Arabidopsis thaliana: one gene and its partners. The protein of the gene in region 1 interacts with the protein of each later gene in a pairwise test. Each region holds a gene or a part of one and is shown in the gene's direction. Other genes may lie near its edges.

Region 1 (5,453 bases):
GATTTATGGAAACCTAATTGATCACGGTCTAATCCTTTTGAAAACCAGAACTATTCATGATAGTTAGATCTTTCCATAAAACAGGCTTCGATTGTCAAAACTTACCGTTTACATGACAACTTTTCTTTGATTTGGTTTTTCTTTTCTATATTTTCAGAGTATTGAACTCTGGACAGAGTTAACCAAAGACATATTTGACGACCAGCCTAACCAAGACTTGACCGGACAGCCAGATAATGGTGGATCTGGTGATGAACATTCCTCTCAATATCCTGTCTCTGAGGTCAAAGAAAGACCGATTCAACACTGGTATATGTGCCTTTCTGACGTAAAAGAAAAACCGCTTCAACACTGGTCTATGTGCATTGCTGAGGTCAAAGAAAAACCGAGCCAACACTGGGCTATGCGTGGTATGTGTTTTATATATAGTATATATTACATTATAGTTATTGTAAATACCATTAAATTAAAGTAGCTAGAACATCAGCACTTTTTTGGTTTCTTGACTGACAAGTATCATATTGATTTTCTTGGCAGCTTCAAAATTCCCAGAGAGTTTCACTCAAGCACAAGGTGGTGATGATTGTTATGAAAATTATGGTGATGGTGCTGATGGTATTGATGATGATGATTATGATGAAGAGAATAGTGTAAGTTTGAAGCACTTTTCCCATTTTCATATCAAAGCTCATTAACTAGAATAAGTAAATCACCATGGATTTTGTATAACGGAATTTTGGTAAATTTAATTAGTTGCTACTTTGTTTATTGTCTCTGACTGAATCTTTCTGATATAGGAATCGAGTTTGAAGTGGAACTGTGACTATCAGCTGTTAAAGAGTGGCTACTTGTCTTTCGATGAAGAAGAAGAAGAGGATAATGACGATGAAGAAGATGTTGACATTTTCTCCGAAGATAGTGATGATTCATGGAATGAGGATTTTGATGATGAAGATGAAGAAGCGGATACTACAGTTTTTAAATATTCCGAAAACATGTCGGAGCTTGATTTGGGATCAGCGACGAATTATACCCCTAGTTCCTACGATCATCGTAATGAAAAAGATAGTGTAAGTTTTTGTGTAGCAGTTTTTTTCACATTTTTATACCTATGCTCATACAAAAACTAGGAAAATGATCATCTATGAAATGTTGTTATTTTAATCAGTTGCTGATTTGGTTATTGTATTTGTGATTAGGGTTCAAGTTTGACGTGGAAAGGTGGTTATCAGCAGTTATATAATGTTGACACGTCTTCCGACGAAGAAGATGAAGAATCATGCGATGAGGAGGATGATGAAGCTGGGGAATATCACTCTGAAGAAGCGATGGAGATGTCGCGCGAGCAGAGAATGAGCGAGCTAAGGAAAGTGCTTCATGACGATGAAGATGACGTATCACAAGGATTTGTGAATGTGAGGCGAGAGACAATTGCGAAGAATACGGAATTTGGTGAGGTCGAGACCCTTTTACCAGATGGTGATTGGGTTTATGTGAAGAGTGCTTAGGGCTCTGATCTTTTGGCAAAAAATGTGTGTGATTTGATCGAGTTTATACTTTACATCGGCTTTAATGATATTTATTTGTGTAGTTTTTTGAGTGTTTCATTCGTTTTTCACAAGGCTTATGTCACTCTATTAACTTGGGGTTTAATACCAAATAGTGTACTTTTTCTTATCATTATTGTTTGTCTTCTTTGCCATTCGATCATGTGATCTTTTAGATTATCTTAAGGTACCTTTCCAGTGGAATCATCGACATTTGGTCTATACATGTATTTTGAGCTCAAACACTAATGCAAAACCACAATCCCACCAAAATCGATTTAACACTAGTTTTGGTTTATTGGACCAAACCAAGTAGAAAACCAACAAAACCACCAGTACCGTGATTATTTTCTTTTCTAACGCGTAATAAATATCTTTTATGGCTTTATTATGCACTCTCATTGCGAAAAAAGAAAAATCCAAAGGCTTGGAAAATCGACAAAAACGAAAAGGGTAGTGGTGAGATGTTTCATCATTCTCTGTTTCAGTTCGGTAATGGCGGAGATTTGCTATTTTGGGGGTCTAGTCCATTATAAATCACCATCTCTTCCTTTGTCTCTTCATTCTCTCTTCCGCAGCAAGAAGCCACATTACTACAATTCCACTTCTCTCATGGCTGAATGTCTCTCCTCCTCCACCGTGGAGCCTCCTTCTCTCCTCGTCTTCTCAGGTTCCACTTTCTTCCTCTTCCTTGTTTCGTGGGTCTCCCTAAAGTTACGATTTTTATGTCGATAAGATCGTCTATTTGTGTTAGATCTTGACCAATTACTTAGAATTTGACATTTGTTAATTCTGTTTGTTGCAAAGTGCAAAGCTTTATCATTGTCTTACATTGGTTTAGGTAGTTTTCTTTTGCTCTGAATTTTGGAAAACGTTATATTTGTTGCTATGAAGGTGGTACTGGATTTAATGGTGTGGTTGAAGAGTTGAAGAAGTTAACAACACGAGTCGCTCATGTTCTTCCTGTCTCTGATGATGGTGGAAGTACTGCTGAGATTGTTCGTGTTCTCGGTAAGTTTTAGAACTCACTAACATTGCTACAAGACCCAGATTATATATGTTTTAGCTTCTTTAAGTTTTTACCAGAAGTAATCTAAGCTCAATATCTCCGTTGCTATAGGAGGGCCAGCGGTTGGTGATATACGTTCGAGGTGTTTAAGGCTGTCTGATGAGAGTACTTCAGAGGCACTTGCTGTTAGGCGGTTGCTTGGCCATCGCTTACCTATTGATGCACATCAGGCCAAGAAAGATTGGTAATTTATCCAATGACTATGTTTTCTTTATGCACATAGTGTGGTCTACTCTATAAGCTACACATTTAAGGTTCTGTGGTGGACAATATTGTGTAATATACCATTGGCTGAGTTGGAACTTTGACAGGTACGATATTGTAGAAGGTAATCATTCTCTGTGGGATGGTGTATCAAGACCCTACAGTGAAACAATTCGCGCTTTCTTGATATACTTTCAGAATGAGGTAATGTTAACTGATACAGAGAAACATGTTTTTATTGGTTTCATATTTGATCAGTTCCAAGTTCCAACTTCTTGATTGTTTAAATTTTTCTTTACCTTAATATTCTGTCATTTCTTACTTGACATGTTTCTTATGATACAGATTCATAGGCGACCTAATGAGAGATTTTGCTTCAGTAATGGAAGGTATTGAAGATCTTTTTCTCGGCTTCAACTGTGTATTATTTTGTTCGCCTGTTTAGTAACTCACTTATGATTGTTTCCTTCTTGTAGCATTGGGAACTTCTTCTTTGCAGGAGCAAGGATATTTTTCCAGTCTTTAGATGCTGCAATTTTTCTGTTTTCACGTGTTTCAGAGATTCCTTGTGACAGTTTGGTCCTCCCAGTGATATCAACCAATGATAGGCTAACACTAGGATGTGAATTACAGGTATGAAGCTTGATCTCTATTTGAATTCCCGCAGCTAGCTTATGGAATCCCATTCTTGTCCACAAATATCGCAGCTAAAGCATCATTATTTGCGGGAAGAAGTATCGCTTTCTATACATAAATCTTGGCTGTCGCTTCACTGGCCATCTTCTTGGTTTAAACAATTAATGGCAAGATTGAGGTGGCAAATTTGTTCGCAAACTAACAAGTTATGACTTTAATTTGTAGGATGGGACTATAATACGCGGACAGAACGAAATTTCTCACCCGACCACTGGGACTACGCAGACAGTTGACAAGGTGTTCTATTTGAATATCTTACATTGGTGTTTTTTGATGATCACGAGAACTAAGTTTACTATATACTTGTATCAATTAAAAATGTCAATTTTGCCATATGTAGAATTTATTTTCTTACATTGTCTTTCTATGTTTCTAGTAGAGACATTGTTCTACTTCCGCTCTCCCATCGAAGATAAAGAGAGTGTTTTACATGTCAAGTGAAGGCAATAATCTGCTTCATGAGGTTAACTACTCTGCTTTTATATATACAGAATGTCCTAGATATCTTCAATGTTATCTCTAATGATTCTGATTCCCTTTAAGAAACTCTATCGTTTTAGTTCTCTACTTCATTTCTTTGTTTTGCACGGTGTATTTGACATTGCAAATGTTTGGTGTTATGTCCATTAAACAGGTCTTCCCACCAGTTAACCCAACTGTCCTAGAGCAGTTGAGAAGCGTGGACTGTATCGTTTACGCAATGGGATCCCTGTTCACTTCCATTTGCCCATCACTGGTTAGCACCCGCAATAAATATGTTGTGCAAAAATGGTGGATTACTAAATTTGTGATAACTGTTATAGACAAGTCTTTCTGTTCATCAGGTTTTGCTTGGTGTTGGGGAGATTATCTCTTCCAGGTCATGTCGTAAGGTATGCTGAAGCTTGTCAAAAATACTAATGATGGTAAAAATCAATCTGATTTCTTCTCTCTGTCACAGGTACTTCTTTTGAACGGTAGCCAAGACCGAGAAACAAGCAGGTTCACCGCTTCCTGCTTTGTGACTGCTATCGCTGACGCTCTCAACAGAACTCATGGAGATACTAATATTCGGCTCAAGAATCCCGTGAGTGGTTCTTCACAATCCACACTCTTTCGATGTCTTCTTTATCAGACATATATCGATATCCAAGAACATCATTTTTGTGTGCAGCCTGGATATTACATCAACACTCTCTTGGTCCCGAAAGATGGAGAAATAGCAGTAGATCTCAAACAATTGTCTGAACAAGGGATATATGATGTTGTCAGTATCTCTTTCCTTCACTTGTTTCCAAGTTTATGTGCACAACAAACACTCACTGTTACCTCCACTCTATTGCAGAGAGTCGTGGAGAGTGTTGGTGACCCGAAGCACGGTATCTTGTTCAACCCGAGCTCACTGATAAACACACTGGCCGGTTTGGTGGAGTAAATAGTGATTCTTTAGGCCAGAGCTAGTTTCTTCTTCTACGCAATTGGGACCATGATTTTTTTGTTACTGTTTAGTTTGATCCTTTAGTGAATTGATATGAAAGGTTATGAATGGTCAATGATCATATTCTTAGCTAAGGAAAGACAAACGCCTCTCTTTCTCTCGGAGTTGTATCATATGTTTTTTCTTACACGTTTTACATATAACTACTGTACAGATGAATACAGTTCACTTTCCAATGAAACCAAATGATGACATTTCTACATAACTATGTGTGCTTTTCATTCCCAAACAAGCAAAGGCATCTTTGTTTCTCACTGTGTATTAACATGTGTGCTTTTACTAAAAAGATGTATTAAAGCAAAGCAAATGATGCCAGCAACAAACAGAGCGTGCCCTGAGATTGGTAGGGCCCTAAGCCCATACAACTTTGTTGGCCCTTTCAGTTAAGTTTAGAAAAGAATCACTTGTTCAATAACCAATGTTAATTGTTGAAAGATGAATTTAACCGAAGATTTCTTTA
Region 2 (3,449 bases), on another chromosome or scaffold:
ACCCAAACCGATACCAAAAATTTTGTTTATAACTCAATCGTTTTTGTGCCACGTGAGCGGAAGGATAATACGTCCAATGGGCTAAAAATAAGAGTGGCCCAATAAACAAGGATGTTTGAGAGTTTTGTGTATTTCAGACAATTAAATACTAGGGTTTATGTGTCTTCAATAACAATCTATCGATAGTCTGAAAGAAAAGAGTTTATGAAAGTTGACCTAACATCTGCGCCAAATAGATCAATCCTTGTTCGAAATTTGAAACAGCGACGATGATGATGTCCGATCTTCCACATGATTTGGTGGAGGAGATTCTCTCTAGGCTTCCGTTGATATCTTTAAAAGCAATGCGATCTACTTGCAAAACCTGGAACGTTCTATCCAAACATCGGAGCTTTGCAAATAAGCACATCGGCAATGTAACCGCATCAGGGAAAAGAGATTTGATAATGATTAAAGATTGTAAGGTTTATTCAATTGGCGTCAATCTCCATGGTATTCAGAACAACAACAACATTATTGATCTATCTATAAAGAATAAAGGTATTCTTCACCTAGAAAATTTAGATCTAATATTCAAGGAAATATTCAATGTCTTTCACTGCAACGGTTTATTGTTGTTATACGGAAGCATCACTGATGATAGTATTAGGCTTGTGGTTTGTAACCCGTATTGGGGGAAACGTGAATGGGTCAAACGCATAAATAATTTTGCAAGTTTTGACAAACTTGCTTTCGGATACGACAAATCTTGTGGTTGCCACAAAATCTTAAGGGTTTTCGATAGTTACCCTAATAGACTTGAAATCTACAATTTGAGGTCTAATTCACGGATGGTTTCTAGTTTCCCTCTTAAATGGGATATAGCGTTTATGCAAGATGGCGTGTCTTTGAAGGGAAATACTTACTGGTATGCTAAAGATAGAAGATCAGAAGATTGTTATTTAATATGCTTTGATTTTACTAGAGAGAGATTCGGACCGCGTCTGCCTCTACCTCAACCCTTCATCGATGAATTTTTGGGGAGTCTATATGTGGTAAGAGAAGAGAAGCTTGCGGTGTTAGTAAAGCGGTGGCGGGGTGGCAAATCTGAGATCGATATTTGGGTTACGAACAAGATTGAGCCCGATGAAGTCTCGTGGAGCAAGTTCTTAAAAGTTGATAACACACCAAGATTTTTTCTGACTGAGGGATACTTGATTTATGATGAAGAGAAAGTCGTAGTGTTTTTTAATAAAGAGGAGACAGAGGGGCTCAAATCCACTGTCCACATAGCTTACATCGTTGGAGAGAATGGTTATTTCAGAAGAGCGGATCTCCGTGAACCTCTATATCAACCACTTTGCCGTCTTGTGTGCTCTTATGTACCAAGTTCTGTGAAGTAGTCTCAAAACAGTGGGTCTCGGTGACTCTCTATGCACACCAGGTCCTATGTGTTCTTATGCTCCAAGTTTTATTCAAATCAAGTTAACCAGACCTATGAATTAGTCTTCTTGCTTTCATCTTATTTTAATATTAATTTGTTTCTCATCTCTTTATGCAATTATATAATGAAGATTTATAAGTTATCAAATTACAAAACAGAGAGACAACAAGTGACGAGCAAGGTACTTTTGTTTAAGCAATTCCTTTGTTTTGTTTACTTTATTTTCGGTTTGGTTATATAAACCGACCCAAACCGAAATCAAATTTTCGTTTATGTAACTCGATCGGTTTTGTCTCATTTCTTATTTGAAGTTTTGAACAACCTTATCCTCTTTCTCTTCTCTTCCTCATCATCAGAGATCAGCCATGGCTTCTTCGACTCTCTTCAAACTCAATTCACAGACATTCAAAGCTCTAAACCCATCTCCTCCTTCGTTATCTCCTCCCAATTCCAGAATTTTCCATCTTCATTTCTCCAAATCACTCTCACAACAGCATTCAAAGCTCAACCACAAATCAACCACTACTCGTTTATTCGCTCCTCTCTGTTCCTCTCTTCCTTCACCTTCTTCTTCTTCTCCTCCCCTTTCCAAAGAAGAAGCCATTAATCAAGCCAAAACTTGTCTCCTTTCATGTCTCATCAAACCCTTAAACAACCCAAAACTCGCTTCCCCAAAACTCAGGAAGCTCAAACAACCAAGATTCCGTCTTGAAATCCCAATCCTTGACGATGATTCTCCTTCGTCACTCTCTCAGCTCGCTTTCTCGATCTTTCATGACTTACCCATCTCGAGAAGAGGCTCTAATGTCAAGCTTCTCTTCCTCTGGCCTAACCCTTCATTCATCGATCCCGCCGTTAAAGCTTTCCGGTCAGACTCTATCCACCACATTGCCATGTCTCCGGTCTCAGACTCTCTTAAAACAGCTCTGAGATCTGCTGACGTGGCGATCTTCATGGCTCCGGAGAAATCGCAGCTGGAGGATGTTAAGACCGCGAGTGAAGCTTTTTCTACAAAACCTGTAGTAATGATCAATCCGAGATGGTTGTTTGAAGAAGAGAAAAGCTTTGGAGATGGCTTTATTGGTTCCTTTGAAGTGATTTATGCGTTCACTGGCTTAGAAGTGAGAGGAGTGTTTAGTAAGAGAAAAGGAGTGATCTTTAAGTGTGTAAGAGACGGTGTTGTGAGTGGAGAAAGATGGAATGTTCTCGTTGAAGAAGAAGAAGGTAATGGTACTTTGAAAGTTGTTTCACAATTCAATTCTCGACCATCAATCGAAGAAGTTGAGCTTGTTCTGTATAACTTGATGGCTATGAATTCTCCTATTACCAAATCAGCTAAGTTTCTTAGTGATTTGGTTTCAAATATCACTGGGAAGAAGTAGTTTGTTAGGACTTCAATGTGTATTGATTGTGGATTCAATTCAAAATAATAAGATTTTAATACTTGTTTTTGAAGCAAAAGAGAGACTACACAACACCATTAATGAAAACTAATTCAGATCTAATCTAATGAAAGACTAAGCTACACATTAATTAGCTAAACAACCACAACACAAATCCCTAATCTAATCTTCATCAGCGGAAGGTTTTGAAGCACCAGCTTTCTTGGGAAGAAGAAGACTGTGAATGTTAGGCATCACACCTCCATTAGCAATCGTCACATCTCCAAGCAGTTTACTCAGCTCCTCATCGTTTCTCACCGCGAGCTGAATGTGACGTGGCACAATCCTAGTCTTCTTGTTATCCCTAGCTGCGTTTCCAGCCAATTCCAATACCTACAACACAACAGATCCAATTTAGAAATTAGGGTTTTACGAAATTGAAGATCGAAAGAGTAAAGAGATATAGGGAGAGAAGGGGATAATTACCTCAGCGGCGAGGTATTCGAGAACGGCGGCTAAGTAAACCGGAGCTCCGGCACCAACACGTGTTGCGTACTTGCCGTTCTTTAGAAAACGAGCGATACGACCAACGGGGAATTGGAGACCGGCTTTGCTGCTTCTCGATGTTGATTTCTTAGCAACGC
Region 3 (3,719 bases), on another chromosome or scaffold:
CTTTTTTTTGTCCTTAATTTTTCTTAATTTCTGAAGAAACCGGTGACTTAATTAGTTTCTCCCTTCTTACAATCATGGATCCTCTTTTTTTCTCTTAACTATGACATAAATCTTAAAAGACTATTGAGAACTGAGAAGTCACTCTCATATGTACAGTTCCCTTTATCAGTCAGATTTATTATAGCCTCAATTTTCTGAGCTACCAGAGAAGTGAGTAAAAGTCAACGATACAAGGTTTGGATTTTGACTTTTAAGCTTTATTATCCCTCCTAATCAAGACAAAAGATGTGAACCAGATTTACTTTACCGACGTGTTGTTGTACTTTCAACTGAAAATCTAAACTACAGTTCTGAAAAAGAGATACGTAAATGTACACGTGTCTATCCACGTGTCAACTCCTACTAAAAACCCTAAACCCTTCCCTCTCTTTATATTAGCCGTCCTAAACTCTTTATCAGTCCCAGTACACTGCGATCAAAAATGGCTTCAGCTTCATCATCGGCGGCGAGATCACTCATCCGCGACGGAAAATCGTTGACGAATCTATTCCTCCGTGGACGTAAGATCAATCTCACCGAGACAGTACAGAACAATGGACCGGCCATTCGATCTCTGCTTTGTTTTAACCAGATGCCGGCGGCTAGCCAATACCCTGTTTACTCTGAAACTTTTCCGGTTATGAAATCCGGTTTACGTGTCGGCTTCGTTCAGAAGGAGGCCGTTTCGGAGAGAGTAGGGAAAATGGAGGCGGCTCATGGAAAGCGAGTGGTGGACAACAAAGATGCTGATTCAGAGGAGGACACGGATTTTGATGAAGACGAGATTGATGACGTTGACTTTGAAGACGATGAAGATTCTGACGAAGATGATGAGGAAGAGGAGGATGACAAGTACACAAGGAAGAAGAAGTAACTCTTCATTCTTCACAAAATGCTTTCTGTTTTTTGTTTGCTTGAGATTAATGGCTTTAGACATAAACCTTCTTTGATGAAATGGTTCTAAAATGACAATTTCTTCTTCTTTGTCCAGTATATTTTTCTTCACATCCCATTTTAACTATTAAATCTGTGGTTTTGGTTATCAATGATATATGTGACATTCGGGGGAAAGAACAAAAAAATTCTCAAACTGACGAAAATGTTGCAACTATCTCAGTAAACTATTAAAATGGTATCGATTAGACGATGGTGATTAGATTATTATAACATCCCAAATCGAGTTTTGTCTTCTTTTTTTTTTCTCTCAAAACAAGCTCAATACTATTTGGAATCGAGTTTTGAACAAGTTTTCTCTAATTTATGTGATCATAACGCTTAGTAATAGAATCCATATGTATTTATGCAAATCTGTTTTAAGAAAAAAAATTACTCTCCAAAGAAAAGTTAAACTATATATAATATAGACACCCTTTCATAAAGTGATATAAGAGTCCAATCCTCAACCTTAACTAATGAAAAAAGAACATGTCCGTCTTCGTAAATAGAATCGACCTTATAGCAGTGCTGCCTAACCGAATTGGTGCGGTGCTGCCTAACCGAAATCAGATGTGCTGCCTAACCGAAATCAAATTTGATAGTCGGTCTACTAAAACAATTGACGGTTTACAGGAGTCCTCTAAACGTTGTCGTTATCTCAAAGGAAAGAATGACGTGGCGAGGATAAAATCGCATTCGCCTCTGTGTGTGTTCTCAAGTCATTCAAATTGTCACCCGTATCTGCCAAAAACCCTCTAACCACTCAAAAAAATATCTCTGCTCTGCTCCAATGGCGTCGTTACTCGATTCCGTCACCGTGACCCGCGTGTTTTCTCTGCCGATTGCGGCTTCGGTCTCGTCTTCTTCAGCTGCTCCGTCGGTTTCACGACGCCGGATTTCTCCCGCCAGGTTTCTGGAATTCAGAGGTTTGAAGTCTTCGCGGAGTTTGGTGACTCAGTCGGCCAGTCTGGGTGCGAATCGTAGAACCAGAATCGCTCGCGGTGGACGAATCGCCTGTGAGGCTCAGGACACCACTGCCGCCGCCGTCGAAGGTAACTTCAGTTTTCTTATAGTACAACTCGTAGATCTGAACCTTAAATCAGTGAGGATTCAACTTCATCATCTATATAATTACTTGGATTGTTAGTCTTTAGTATTATCTGATTTAGTTCTCTAAAACTAGGATTCATAGGGAGTGGATTCTGATAAAACATTGTAGTCAACGTTATTGAATACTCAACTTCTTCATCTATCAAGTTGTTGTATGATCAAACCAGGATTGATTATACAAATTGATAGCAAAGATACTCTGTGATAAGATTTTAGCATATGGTTTAAATAACTCAAGAAAGAACCAGAGTCTTGTTGGCATTGAGCATTGATGTGCTCTGTATACTATTTCACAGAACGGTTCTCTCTGATAGTTGCATAATTTCAATCACCATTGAGATATATCTAACTAGTTTGTTTGATGTTGCAGTACCAAATCTGTCTGATTCAGAATGGCAAACAAAGGTTCTGGAATCAGATGTCCCAGTTCTGGTCGAGTTCTGGGCACCATGGTGTGGACCTTGCCGTATGATTCACCCCATAGTTGACCAGCTAGCCAAAGATTTCGCAGGGAAGTTCAAATTCTACAAAATCAACACTGACGAGAGCCCAAATACAGCAAACCGTTACGGGATACGAAGCGTTCCAACAGTAATCATCTTCAAAGGCGGTGAGAAGAAAGATAGCATCATTGGAGCTGTGCCTAGAGAGACGTTGGAGAAAACTATAGAAAGATTCTTGGTCGAGTAACAAAATTTGACTCTTTTGTCACTCTGAACCATTTTACCTTATCTTCTCTCTTGTAATCTCTGTAAAGTCTTTTAAGTTTTTGACTATTATGTTATCGTGGGTCCTCTTTGTCTTCTTCAATAAAAAAAATGGAAACAAAGTAATCCACCGACGCATGAGAAGCATAACTCCACGTTGAACCACATGCCATTGTTCTTCCTAATTCACCGTACAATCTATATACATACATATGTTTTGAGTAATGTAGGCTTCCGTACTGTTTCATTCTGTGTACTGCATAGGACATATATTAATACCACGAGGGGGTCTATGTAATCTTATATTATATCATGTATGTTTTCGATTTCTAATCCAATTATGTGAGTATATACTATGTGGCATGTCCAAGCCATGTCTTTACTAAACGATCAGGAGAAAACGCGTTTCGTTTTTAAATCAGTTTAGTTGGATTCCCATATTTAATCTCGGATTACACAGGTCATTTCGCGACTAAAACTTAGGAAACTTAGATCTCAAATTCCCAACCTTTGATAGCACCGAATAATTAAGATACGAAATCCTGAACTAAATATACAGCTAGATATCGAAAACGTTTGTCAACTCTGCCATTCTCTTCCATCATTTTCCTCTCGGAACCAAATGTTAGTTACAGTCAGATTACAAGGCAGTTCAATCTCTAACCAGAGCTAAAAATATCATTATCTTGTAGTATTTCAAATACTAGTATTTTGTTATGGGTAATTCTCCTCAGAAACTAAAATGTTGTTACTTAATATGCTTCTATATGGACATATCAAAAATATTTTTCATTAACTACTTCACCAAAAAATAGCTATATGACATTAAAGTGTTTTAGTATTTCAACTAGGAAATTATGTTCCCCTGTGTTTAGACCTATATTCAATTATTATAGAATTTTCAAGAGCAATAAAAAAAGAAAGATC

Evidence for each region.
Region 2: the proteins of MEE18 (region 1) and AT3G20680 interact in a two-hybrid assay, tested with the Arabidopsis thaliana proteins (one large-scale study listed by BioGRID).
Region 3: the proteins of MEE18 (region 1) and TRX-M4 interact in a two-hybrid assay, tested with the Arabidopsis thaliana proteins (one large-scale study listed by BioGRID).

What each region holds. Positions count from the first base shown.
Region 1 is NC_003071.7:14,395,760-14,401,212, reverse strand, and holds MEE18 (maternal effect embryo arrest 18), read left to right. Parts: upstream 1-1,937; coding exon 1,938-2,217; intron 2,218-2,441; coding exon 2,442-2,558; intron 2,559-2,667; coding exon 2,668-2,800; intron 2,801-2,912; coding exon of another isoform or gene 2,913-2,927; coding exon 2,928-3,024; intron 3,025-3,165; coding exon 3,166-3,209; intron 3,210-3,296; coding exon 3,297-3,453; intron 3,454-3,681; coding exon 3,682-3,753; intron 3,754-3,895; coding exon 3,896-3,979; intron 3,980-4,150; coding exon 4,151-4,252; intron 4,253-4,340; coding exon 4,341-4,388; intron 4,389-4,456; coding exon 4,457-4,582; coding exon of another isoform or gene 4,583-4,669; coding exon 4,670-4,930; downstream 4,931-5,453. Other genes in the region: AT2G34100 (nonsense-mediated mRNA decay-like protein), read left to right, coding at 158-410, 538-650, 798-1,070, 1,200-1,508.
Region 2 is NC_003074.8:7,229,503-7,232,951, reverse strand, and holds AT3G20680 (plant/protein (DUF1995)), read left to right. Parts: upstream 1-1,757; 5' UTR 1,758-1,788; coding exon 1,789-2,805; 3' UTR 2,806-2,884; downstream 2,885-3,449. Other genes in the region: AT3G20690 (F-box and associated interaction domains-containing protein), read left to right, coding at 270-1,382; HTA13 (histone H2A 13), read right to left, coding at 2,989-3,198, 3,292-3,449.
Region 3 is NC_003074.8:5,186,683-5,190,401, forward strand, and holds TRX-M4 (thioredoxin M-type 4), read left to right. Parts: upstream 1-1,558; 5' UTR 1,559-1,765; coding exon 1,766-2,027; intron 2,028-2,455; coding exon 2,456-2,775; 3' UTR 2,776-3,154; downstream 3,155-3,719. Other genes in the region: AT3G15357 (phosphopantothenoylcysteine decarboxylase subunit), read left to right, coding at 482-913.